Drosophila melanogaster: one gene and its partner. The protein of the gene in region 1 interacts with the protein of each later gene in a pairwise test. Each region holds a gene or a part of one and is shown in the gene's direction. Other genes may lie near its edges.

The links.
Region 2: the proteins of wuc (region 1) and comr interact in a two-hybrid assay, tested with the Drosophila melanogaster proteins (one study listed by BioGRID).

Annotation. Positions count from the first base shown.
Region 1 is NT_033778.4:12,696,497-12,702,397, forward strand, and holds wuc (Wake-up-call), read left to right. Parts: upstream 1-3,584; 5' UTR 3,585-3,716; exon of another isoform or gene 3,717-3,800; 5' UTR 3,801-3,807; coding exon 3,808-4,066; intron 4,067-4,122; coding exon 4,123-4,274; 3' UTR 4,275-4,355; downstream 4,356-5,901.
Region 2 is NT_033778.4:21,863,087-21,870,078, reverse strand, and holds comr (cookie monster), read left to right. Parts: upstream 1-3,219; 5' UTR 3,220-3,285; coding exon 3,286-5,088; 3' UTR 5,089-5,209; downstream 5,210-6,992.

The DNA of each region.
Region 1 (5,901 bases):
TGTAGCTACAGAGAAAGAAATTATTTGATGTTTTGAAATTACTAATTTAAGTGAAACAAATGGGCTGCAGTGAGTAGTATATTCAAGTTAATAAATGAATTTCTAAAGATACTTTGCTTCTTACTTAGCTTAGCTTCTAAAATGTTAATGGCTTCGGAAACTTTACACAACTTGAATTGATGGATTTTATTTTATAAAATTATAGTTTTCCGTGCAGCAGCTGTTTCTCCGAAATCCTTGTAAATTGCTTTAATTATTTAGTAATTTTTAGTAATATTCCAGTGACAAACCTGCCTCTTTCCAGCGACAAAAAAGGCAGGTGAACTGGAATAATTCACACCTGCGGCGGTCAGCGGCCTACGTGCAATTATTGACGTTCAGTTTTGTAATAAAATATAAGTCGCAGTGCTGGCGACCTGAAATTAATTAGGCTTTTAATATTTATGCCTTTTATGTTTTGCATTTGCATTTGGTGGCGACAGGTCGCCAAGGACACGAGTGACAGGCGACCGAGGCAGCAGGACTAAGGACTCGGGCCAGGACTCACGTTCGTGTATGCGGGCAATTAATAAGCCAGAAATGCGACCGCTAATTCAAGGAGTCAGACGCGCTGTCCTGCGAAAGGGTGCAAGATAAGTATCTATTATAAATATTCATACTATATGTCGGCGGCGAGCACAGACGACATTAAACCGTGTCCGACAAGTCCGGCGATCCCATACCCAGTCCACATCCGGAATGGAATGTCTACTGGCTGGCTACATTGAAGGAGCCGAAGCCTTTCCCCAATTCCACTTTCCATGTCATCGGATCCCCAGGCATAGCTCTCCATTCATGGGCCTAAGCTATTTCTCATCTGTATCAAACTTGACAGCAAAAAGAGGCCTTTCATTCGCTTGGGAGGCCACCCAGTTCCTGGGGCTGAGAAAAAAGTAATCAGATTGCTGGCGTATAATAGCGTAACTCTGCCCATATCCTATTGTTACTACTTTTATTCAGAAACTCTTTTTTGAACTGAAAAGCAGATTGGAGATCTCTCTCTCTATGAAAGTGACACACTAAGAAGGCTTGAGGGCATTTCTGAAGGACATATATCCTGGTATTTATTATATCTTATGTATATATTTTCCATAAGCCATTCCATTCTTTATGTTATATAGCTTGATTTTACATCGAATTCTAATTATTGGAATTGGTAATCGGTTTAAACATTTATTTTGGTTTTATATGTCTATTACTGTACCTAAAACCAAGAAGGACGGCAAATTAATCACGTTTGTTATGTATTTATGCCATTTCCAAGTCCGTACTTTTACTAGATTCCCTTCTGCAAGTATAATGTGTTTTTTTTTTAACTTAAACAACTCGCTTTTCTACTAAATGATATGTTATATACATATGTATATCAAAGTGTAGCTGCAATCAATAGCATAAAAATTTCTCGTTGGTTCAATCAAACTTTACTTTTCCTTTGATGACCAATTATAGTGTAGTTTAGGCCGATAGTTCGGTAATTCCAGAGCACCGCTGTGCTAAATACATTTGAGTATCAAAAAATATGTTTTTAGCCGAAAATGGGCTGCTACTTTCACCCGTCTCGTTTGGTTTATCGATGCACAACAATCGCGGCAATCGCCGTTGAAGCAATGAAATTAGCGAACCGCAAACAAGACTTCAAATTACCCGCATTCATCCCGAATCAGATATTCGCACCAGGCTGTCAGATTTCTGCTGAGACGGGGAGTTGGGAAGGCGGGAGGTCGGTGCTAAAAAGTATATATGTATACAAGGTATGGATCGTATGGATCGTATCGATTGCCATCGACAGCCGTTCACAATGGATCAGCCAGTAAATCAGGCGAGAAAGGAAGGAAAGCCAGCGACTCGAGGCGAGGGGCACTTCAATGAGTAAGAAAGAAAGAGCAATTGCATTGGGGCAGACATCCGCATCTCCAACTCCAATTCCAACTGCATGTCCACACAAATGTATCTGTATCTCCGCATGGCACACTTCCAACTGTGGCGCATAATTAAATCGCAGCATAAATAAACATAAACACACATAAAGCTGTGATAAATTGGCCAGCGACGCAGCGGAAATGTGCGTTAATCCAATTAAATGGGCCATTTGCATGGCTGAATGCTGCGAGAATGTTGTTCATTAAAATTGCCAATATTTGGCATCAAATCCGAACCAAAGCGGTGCAGCTGCACTTTGGCAAAGGACCCATACCGATTTCAGGGGTCAATTCCGGATTTGGGACAATGTCCTGCCGCCAACTAATCGTCTAGTCTAGTCTGGGTTACTGTCTCTGTTTCTCTTTCTGGCCAACTTGTTTGTTTTGGGCCACTATTTTACTACTTTGCTTCTTTGTTTTGTTTGGGTTCTTTGGCCCCAGGCGGCTATCTTGTCACAGTGGTAACTGCGTCTTTTAAAGAGCACTGAGCAAAATAACTATAGACACTATAATAAAGACTGCTCTATTGTAAAATTGTTACCAATAATTGAGAAAACACTCAAGAACTCAATTTCGACCTTAAGAACATGCGAAAATGATGCAAAAGAAATAACTTTTTTTTTTGTAAATATATATAGATATAGAAGTCAGCACAACTTTGGAATGTTTTTTTTGTTTTGCATCATGTTAACATCCATTAGGCAGCGATTTGAACAAATCAAAGTCAGCAGCAGACATACTTCCAACCATTCCCCCCCCTGCGAGTGGCACGTGCCGCATGGATGATAACACGGGCTAACACAGGCCGAATCCTTGCAAATAAACTGCAGCGTAATGGGGCCCATTGTGCGGTGCAAACACTGTTTACACAGACGCCAGCCACCCTGGGGAAAACGCTTCTGGAGAGTCCTGGGGGTGGGGCGAACAGCGACCCCTTCAAAAGTTTAACTTGTTCAATTTGCATGAGTCGCGGACCCGGCTATAAACGATACTTTGCCCAAAAACTTTGGCCATAAAGCAGCTACAAAAGCAGACGGAATACACGGCTGGACAGGGGGAATAATGAGCACGCGTCCCTTTGTCACCATCAGGACATACATATACTCCATGTCCATGTCCTTCGGCTGCTAAGCCGCCACCGAAGCAAGCGGACACGTGCGACAAGGACAATGGAGGTAGTGAGTACAAAGAGGGGGCTTTAGGGGTTCAAGGACATTAAGATTTAAATATTATTGTTATGAAATGTATTAGTAAGTTCTTGAATCTTCTATCTTCCTCATATCATCATATTATTATTATTATTAATATCAATATATCAATTATTCACAATTATAATACTAAAAATCCCCTTTTAAATAATTTTGATCATACACCCCTGTAAAGAAAGTTGCTTGGGCTGAAGAGGTGATTCCTTTCTGGGGGATGGAAAACGCCTGCGATCGATTGTTTACAAGAAGCCGAGTCCTTTGAAAAACGCTTTCTAATGGCCGGTATTCAGTTCTTGCAGGGCTTCCCACATTGACCTTGGCTGCAGCCCTGGCAACTCCTGGAAATTTGCACATTACGTATTCCTTTTTTGAAGGTGGCAACCCTCCTGCGGTGACAATTAATTTTGTACAGCTCATTAGGCGTTGGAAAAACTTTCGCCAAGGGTGGATTTATATTCGGGATTTTAAACCTGTCATTCCAGCAAAAAGTGGTGTACGGAAGCTAATTTCTTGGGTCCCTTCTGTTTTGATATATTCTATTAGCAAGGTGGTAAGCTCAATTAGGCGATTTCACGCTGGCACAGCATTTCTTCAACAAACAACAAGGAAGCCTATTGAAAAGTTAATAATTTAGCGAAAATATGAAAAAAGTTACGAAGTCCATTAAGCGGGAAGGAAGTCCCAGCGATGAGGAGTACACTTTGGAGGAGGACCCAATCGAATTCGAGTTGGAAAAGATGGAAAGGGGCAGTTCTAATGGGGAAAGCGAAGAGGAAAGTCAGCGGGATCAAAAGCAAGCGGACTCCATCATCGACGATATGGTCGAGCAAAACGACCAGGAACAGGAGGCAGCCGGTGAACAGGATGTGGAAAGGGAGAACGACCTGCGCAAGATGTATGGTAAGTGGTTTCCCGAGGTGATAAATTCATATATATACAAACAAAACTTTCTCCAGAACTAAGTCTACTCCCGCCGGCGGCCATAGCTGCCCAGATCCAGCAAATGGAGAAGGAGATCTACGAGCTGAGTCAATGGGAAGCCAGGGAGCTCATCCGGAGCAAACACCTGCGCATCTTTGGCAACTGCCGTCGTCGCGCCAACAAGTGAAGAAGTGACAAATCTGCTTACAGAACACTGTATACTGTACTGTTGATGACTTTGATGGTATCAAATAAAGGGTCGTCAACGAAAGTGACTCCAACTCCATTCCGTTTCCCCGTCCAGTGGCAAAGCCACACATAGCTCCACATGGCCCAAGTGGCCAGATGGGCGAGTGTCGTGGGCAAAGTCCCATGAAAGCCGCTTACAGGGCTTAATTTCTGAAAATGGACATGCCATCGACATTCGCCCACGACATCGGCTCCATCTGAAGTCAAGTACAGTGGGACTTCTGTAGCTTGAACTTAAAAACCAAACATATTGCTAGGAGATAGAATAATATATCTACCAAATACTACACATTTTAATATTTTTATAAGTTTCAAATACACATCTGCATATCTGGATGTATTTGTAGATGTATATCAATTCAGTGTCTTCCTTTTGTCGAAGCTCGACTGTTGTTACTAGGAAATGCACATCGCATATGGAGGTGGAAGCAGTGCGTCTGGGATTGGGCATTAATCGTGCATTAGAGTCTAGAGTTCAGATGGCCGGAGCTGCGGCATCCGTTCCGACGGGCTTCCTGTGCGCTTAGTGGCCTCCATCGCATTCGCCAATCCTCCTGCCGTTGAGGTGGAGCTCCCGGTTCGGCGGGGGCTTTTGTGGAGTAACTCGATTCAAAGCAAATAGTAGCCAGTTTATCACATGGATTTGTGCTAATTTTTCCATTTCCTCGCTCGCTCGCCTGGGGAGTTGTGAACCCGATCCGCATTGAAGTTGGCTCTCGAGTTTCCAGGGTTCTTAAGTTGATTAAATTTCACGCGATTTGATTCGATTTTCAATTATACGAGTACCGAGTACCGAAACACCGAGTGCCTCAAATCCATTATGCTAAGCAAATACATCTAACGTGTTTTCAGTTTCAACTGCGTGTCAGTTATCAATGCCCAAAAAAAAAAAGAAAAATGGAAAGGGAAAGCCATGGAAATCAGGGGGAGTTGGGCAAAGCTTTTTGATGCCCGTCCAAGCGACTTCCTGGCATATCCTTTCAAATGTCTGCCTGTCCGTCGGTTGATGATGGTGATGCAGTCGGAGCACTCCTGCCCCCCAAAAATATCAGTTGTTGTTTTTGTCGCTTTCGGTGGTTGCGGGTGCAAATGTTTATCAGCTTCAAAGGGATTCCCCGTCCGTCAGTTTGGGCGATTTGGGGTTTGTCACAACACGGCATTACCCAGACTCCGGCGAAAGGAGACATTTGAATGCAACATGTGTCCAGGATTCGGGCTTTGTTAATTTCCAACCCCGAGAACTTAAGGGTGGAACACCAACTCGACTAATAGAATATGCTCATTATGGGATTCCGAGCTGAGTGGGTTTCAGTGTTTCGCGCATAACTCAAACTAAATTATTATAAATGAATTCATAATCTTGTGCACATTATGATGACTTCAGGGGCCAAAAGGGGGATGATTCAAGTGCTCGTTTCTCCCCCAAAAAATGTCAAATATTCAAATATAAGCGAAAGGATTCGCCATTTATTGGATTGCTCAGCACTGATTGAATTTACTGCGCAGTTGGCGAGGAGGTGGAGAATTCGTTACTCTTCTCTAAAAGCCATAAATTGTTTCGGGAT
Region 2 (6,992 bases), 9.2 Mb from region 1:
AAGAAGCATATCTTCATGGTTATAAATATACGACTCCGCGTGGCAACTCGACTAGGCCAGCTCATAACTCTAGATTGCATTATCTTAGGATCTCCAAATGTAGAAGACACATGTGTTGCTCCCTTTACTTTCGGCACTCCCGTGACTCCCTTCGAAAATAAAGTGAGGACATATCAAGTTGCCCTTTGCGAGGACTGCAAATCGATTGAGGAACCCTGAAGGAGTAGGAGTTGCTGGGGATGGGGTTTTGAGTATTTCACAGAAATTCGAAACCGCGCAAAGTCAATGAACCAAAACAAACGAAAACAAAAGGGGCCACCACCGCGATGGAAATGAAAACAAATACAATAGGAAAAAGGCAACAAAAACATACAAAATGCACAACAATTTGACATCTGTTTCAACAATTTCGTTTAGCGAAAAAGGAGTAAAAAAGTAAGGACGAAAAGGATGTCACGTAGATTGACTTGTACAGCAGACAAAAGGAGCCCGAAACTTCAATTCAAACTTGGAACCCACTCGAAAACTCCTTCATCTCGTCAAAAAAGCAAAACGAAATTCCCCCGCGTTCGTGTGACAAATGTCAAGGGTTAATGAGATCCCCTTTTTTACAGTACTCTTCAGAAATGGAGTTGTGTTAATTATCATCAACGAACAGGAGTTTAAACGCTTCATTAGACAAAACAGTGCAACCAGAAGACAAAGAACAAAAAGGGAATGGAATAAGTATCTACAGATACGAGGGGTGAAAGCGATACCAAAAGGGGAAATGAGTTTAAACATATTTAGTGAAAAATTTGTGGACATCGAAAATATCAAATTACCAAAACCGGGAATTGCCTTCCAGTCTTAACGGGAATGGATTTTTTAGAGCAAAAGCAAAAGCGGGAGAAATGGGCATTCAATTAGTCACAGTCTACATGGGTGCGAGATTGTAGATAAGGTCGTCAGATACATTGTGAAAATACATTTGCATTCGAACTGGTTGTGTTCTAGGAAATTATATACAATTTAAATTTATTAATATAATAAATATATACAATTTTTAAGAGTATAAGATTTTATGAGCATTGCCTGCACATTTCAAAATCCCATATTCCAAGAAATCCCTTGCTTAATGAACTAAATTGTAAACTCTTTCAATATGTTTAATTGTGGCATTTCTCAAGAAAACGATACGATCATTAATATGCATTGTGTTTTGAAAAATGATTTTTCTGCATGCTATATGGCAAAGTGATATTTTAGCCGCTAATTGTCAAAGTCCACCAAACTTTGGCCCTTAATATGCAGTTCGTAAAATTATGAAATATATTCATTTATTTTAATTAGCTTAACCTCAAGGCGAAGAAAGCGAAGAGCAGAGAGAAATAAGTTCAATGAGACCCCAAGGTTTGCCTTCTGGCAAGTGAAATGATTGATGGATTGGAGCTCCATTGTCTTCACATGAGTCACTAAACCACGAGAATCTTATAGAGCGTATCACTTGCTGCAGTGACTCACTCTAGAATAAGGAAATATAATCGAAACTGGAATCGGGATCGTAAAAATGCAATTCAGATAGCGAAAGGGCGGAAAACAGCTGGAAAAATTCGGGGCTAGAAGGTCGTGCTCAGTCGTCTTCATCTTTAATTGCTTGGAAAACAATAGTCTAAAAGGAAAACCGATGGAGTAGCGCCCCATAAACCATAAAAATGCATAATCTACGACCACTTGACACGCATTAAACAAAAACAAAACAACACTACGGCGGCGGCATTCCTACTTTTATGTTTTATAACGTTTTCAACATTTTATAAAATATTTTTTAGACGAACGAGATGGGAGATCTCCATATATAGTTGAACAATAGTTGTCCCCAGATAAGGAGTAAATAAAGACCTCTAGCTCTCTACCCGTAAAATTAAACTGAAACCGAAACTTATGTAGTGCTTTTTATGAATTCATATAGGGCTTCCGTCACACGACTAAATCAGATCGTAAAAAATGTACAACAAAAGAAACTTTTTCGTTCCGCCAAAAGAAAGAGCAACAAAAAATAGGAAGCAATGAAAAAATTGAAAGGGGTTTCATTGTCAAAATCACGTGCGTGCTGGTATACTATTTTTTTCCAACTGGACTTGTAAATTTATTCGTCATATACAGCCGTTGTTCTTGTTATGCAGCTTTTCATGGGCTGCCCTATGATTTTCGCTCGGAAATTACAACTTTGTCATCAAATTCGGACTGTAAACATTACAACTAGTGTAATAAAAGAACAATAAAATTGGCGGAAATATTCGCCAAAGAAATTGAGCAATGAAATGCATAATTATATTCACTAGACGAACTATTCACATCAGTAATTTACCAATAACTAAAGAAGCTATAAAGAGCAGGGTATTATAATATTCAATAGATTCAAGCAGCTGACGACATTTTTTTAATTTACTCCTGGTGACACGTGAGATTATTGCATAAAATTCTTGTCAGTCCGATTTTTTTCGCCTGTGCCAAAAACTCAGCAGTTTGTTCATCCAAATATCGTGCATCAGTCAGAATAATTGGGGGGGTGTTCGCCATGGATGATTCGTGATTAAAGGATGTGTATTAAATATTCATATGAATGTCAATTTAAAGCTATCTCTTTCGGCACAGTGTCACCCTCTCTTTCTCATTGACTGGTTATAGACCAGTTGAGTGCCAGTGTTGGCGGCTTTTTGTTGTCTCGGCTTTGGTCTGCATTATTGTTGATATAGCCCATGAATCCCCAATTGAAAGGCTTCCCTTACTTTCCTTTTTGAACTTTGCCGCCCTTGGAAACAAATGGGAGGGTTAAAACTGGGGGTTTTGGGGTTATAAATAACAATAGATTTATTGCAAACAAAACATGAAGTGCATTCAAATAAAATGAAAGGAGCTTTGTTTGGTTTTCGCCTGTCTACTCTTTCACTAAAGCTAAATTGTGTAACTTTAATTTATCAATAAGAATTTTTGGCAGCAGAATAATAATAGTGGAATGCAAGGCTTATTTAACATGTAAAAAAAAGAAGTTTTGAACATTAAGTGTGACTGCTTAAAGTACACCGATGAGAGTGTGTTTTCTTAAAAATCATCGATAGAAACTGTAAAGGATAACAGAAAAACTTAGCAACACTTTTTCCGAATGGAAAACAACAGCAGGGCAACCCTTAAAGTGGGCCAACATTTCGTTTGTCAGTCCTCATATTTTTCCGGCTTGCTCGTTTGCCCGAATATTTGTTTGAGAACTAAAAAGTCATCGAAGTTTGTAAATACAAAAGGATAATGTCGGGGAACCAAGACACTTTGGGCCAGTCACAGCAGGTCAATGAAAGTGGTGATGAATATGAAGAAGACGCAGCAACAAGTTGGACAAATGAGTTGGAACAGCAGGAGTCCAGGACGCCAGCGGATAGCCCCGAGTTTCTGGATTTTGTGGACTCCGAGGATCCGCTGGAAGATTTCGAAAGAAATCCTTTGCAGAAGGAGCCCCTCGATCTGGCAGTTAAACCTGTTTCCGACATCAATAAGAAGGCAGCGGAGAATCACAGGCGGATTTACCGACAATTGGGTATCCATATCCCGGAAACGCCAAAAAGCCATCCTCTACTCCATTATGCATTCGTCGTGAAACTGTTCCTGGCCACCGATAATAGCTCCATTCACTACCTCAAGTGGTCGGCAAATGGCCGCGAACTGGAGGTCGATTACCAGGGTATGCAGGAGCATTTGTCCAGCGGGTGTTCCATGTTTCATTGTCGAAATACATTGCAATTTACGGGCACTCTATTGGCCCACGGATTCGAACGCGTTTCATTGAAGGATGTGCGTAAATCCTCAGCCACCAACATCACGCTGATCTATCGGAATCCAAATTTCGTTAAGGGTCAGTTACTCAAATTGCATAAACTGGCTCAGGAATGTGAGAAAATACCTGAAATTTCAAGCCCGGGAACGGCGGAGCCGCGACGACCACCTCTGCACCTCCCGAACTATGCCCATATTTCCAGGATGGTACGGCGAGGAGATCTCTGCTCCACTCCCTACACATCCCGTTCTGCTCTGCAAGTGGCTCGATGTCATTTCCAAACTCTGCTAGGATATCAAGCCGATCTGGGTGTCCTTAAGGATCGCAACAATCACGATATGTTCAACAAGAACATTATGACGCAACTGAATGTGAAGAGGGGGCGTTCGTCTATCAATAACGCCCCCGTAGACTTAGCGCCCAGTAAAGTTTCCTTTGAGAAATTCGTAAAGCCGCACGAATCTGTGATTAATATCGGAATTGGCCAAGCTCCCGATTATGCCGGTTATTATGGCCAGGTCGAGCTATTCAAAGTCAACGAGTTCTTCTCCGAATATCTGCCGCGCTATGGTAGCAAAATCACCGGCTACAAGGAAATAGTTATGGATGCCACCAATAAGTCCATTGGTTTCCAGCAGAATCTGCCAATCGGCATGAATTACTCGGATGATGAAGACGATGCCCTGCCACCGATTTCATCGGACCTCGACTTGGACTTCATGCCATCCACCTCAGCGGCGGCGAAGATGAAATCTACAGGTCGCAAGGTAGTGGAGGACTCGGACTTGGAGCAGGCTATGCAGGAATTGTGCGGCGGTTCTAATCTTAACGAAGAGGAGGAACTTCCACAGACCAGCACCAGGTTTAAAGCAAAGCCCAAACCAAGAGCCAAAACCAAAGCCAAACCCACGAAACGCCAAGCTAAACCCGTACATTCCAGTTCCAGCGAATGCGAAGATTTCAAGCCAGACGAAGTGTATGAAGGTTTTAAGTCTAGAAACCCAAAGAACGTTAAGTTAAAGCCTAGTGACGAAAATATCTCCTATACTCTTGAAGAAGGAACTGATTTCGAGGAGCAAGTCATAGAAGAAACGACCGAAACCAAGGTGCAGGATTCGCAATACGATGACCTGGATGATGACGACGACGACGAGGAAGAGGATTACTTCGACGAGGATGACGAGGATTATGTTTACAAAAATTTGCAGTACAGGAACCCTCCTGAACCGCCAAAAAGCCGACGCTATGATCTACGCAACTCCAAGCGAAATCCTCGTTGAGTCTGCCACTCATTGGAATTGTATGGTATATCTAAGGCAACTAGGAGTTATTATTTGTTAAATCAAATACTTGACTGTGTGGATTTGTGCACCAAACAATTAAACGTTATTTAGTAACTTTAAAGAGGATTTTATTTAAAACTTACGGTACGCATCTTCGGACCATTCACCTCTGCCATATCTTTTGTTTATTCAACTTTAGGCCCATTCCTTTAACCATCTTCCATTGGGCATATCTAAACCTTTCATTATAGCTTTTGTTGGTCTTCTTCGAAGGCAATAAGTTTGGACATATGGGCAATTAAATCGCTTATCGCTCTTTGATCTCTCACGCCCTCAGTGCCCCATTACCGAGGCCAATCAAAAGTGTAATATCATCTGGAAATATCTTACCAATTCGAACCGAGGGCCAGCACCCACACGAACTCACAAAAACCGAAAACGTATAACCAGAAAATAAAGGAAAAAACCAGACAGGGGCACAATCAGTCGGATGTTTACAAGTTTTATGAGCCACCAAATAACAAGATGAACAACAGGCAACCGAAAACGAAACCAAAACCAAAACCAGAACCAAAGCGAAACTTAAACGATACTTGATTTCGAAGGGATTTCGGATTTGTGGTGTACCTCGCACCGCATTTGCAAGAGGCGCAAAAAATAAGCGCTTTTTTTTTATATATATAACTCAGCGTGAGCCGAGACACGATTTTTATCGTCTTTAATTTGCTTTTTATTTGATATCATATTTCAAGACAGCCGGACGGATCAAATCGGTTTGGTCCCACTCGCAGAACTCTGGAGCGTTGAAAACAAAAGCCGGTATCCTCTTATTTGCCGGCTCCGCTCCTCCGAAAAATCCCAAAACAGATTTTTCGGTTGGCAAAAGAGGAGAAACCTTGAGTCAAGACGTCATAATGTCATAAAAATGTCACATACTTTTAATAACTTTATGACAGCTACAAAATCATAAACAAAATGCTCTGACAGCAGCACACGAACTGCGAGAAGGCGAGGGATTCTGCGGTTGAGTTCTTTTGGGAGTCCTCATAATGAGATGTGTCATGTTTTGCCTTCTGAGAAATGTTTCTGCTTCTCCATTTCGGTGGCTTTTGCCATGATTGCCCATCGAGGAGCCGAGTGGACCAGGCTGCCATACTCCCATCCCTTCCCCCAAGAGTCACAATTATAAACATGACAGGCTGATTATTAAATTTGATGTTTAAATGATGATCTAAACAGCAGGGATATTCGATAGTAGGGGGTGTGTGTAGCGTGTGCCTAGGAAAATACATCCATAAAGTTGGTTCGTGGCAAATAAATTATCACTGAACTATGCATGTAGCTTGAACTTGTAAACTTAACATTGAAAATATTGTATTTTGGGCTACAGGGTAGGGATTTGAATATATAGATGCTTTAGAATCGTTTTTAATCCAAATATTTCGTTGATTCTTTTCTTCTCACGCACCAATTTAATGCAATCCACACACACCTTTTCGGTCCAAAGGCCACAATCTCAGCTTTAGTTTCAACACATAAATTCGGTTTGCGACAAAGCGCGCCAGTATTAAATTATGGAAACAGGAATAAAGTCGGGACTTTTGCTGCATTATAATGAAGTCAGATAGGTGGGGGTGGGGCAAAGAAGTTTGGGGGGGGTAAGTCGAAATGCCCTCCGAATGCAGAGTTATTAAATGCCAAGTTATTTGTCGTTTAGCTGGAAATCCACGCAGGTCGGCAGTACTTTAACTTCTGAGGCTCACAAACTTTTTTTTTTGAGACTGCTTTATGGGCTTGAGTAGGAAATCTTTACGAGTTTCTGCTGGGGAGACAAATTTATTGGCAAGGCATTAATGTTTTCTTTACTGTTCGTATTTCTCTCTTCCCTCTCGTATTTTTCC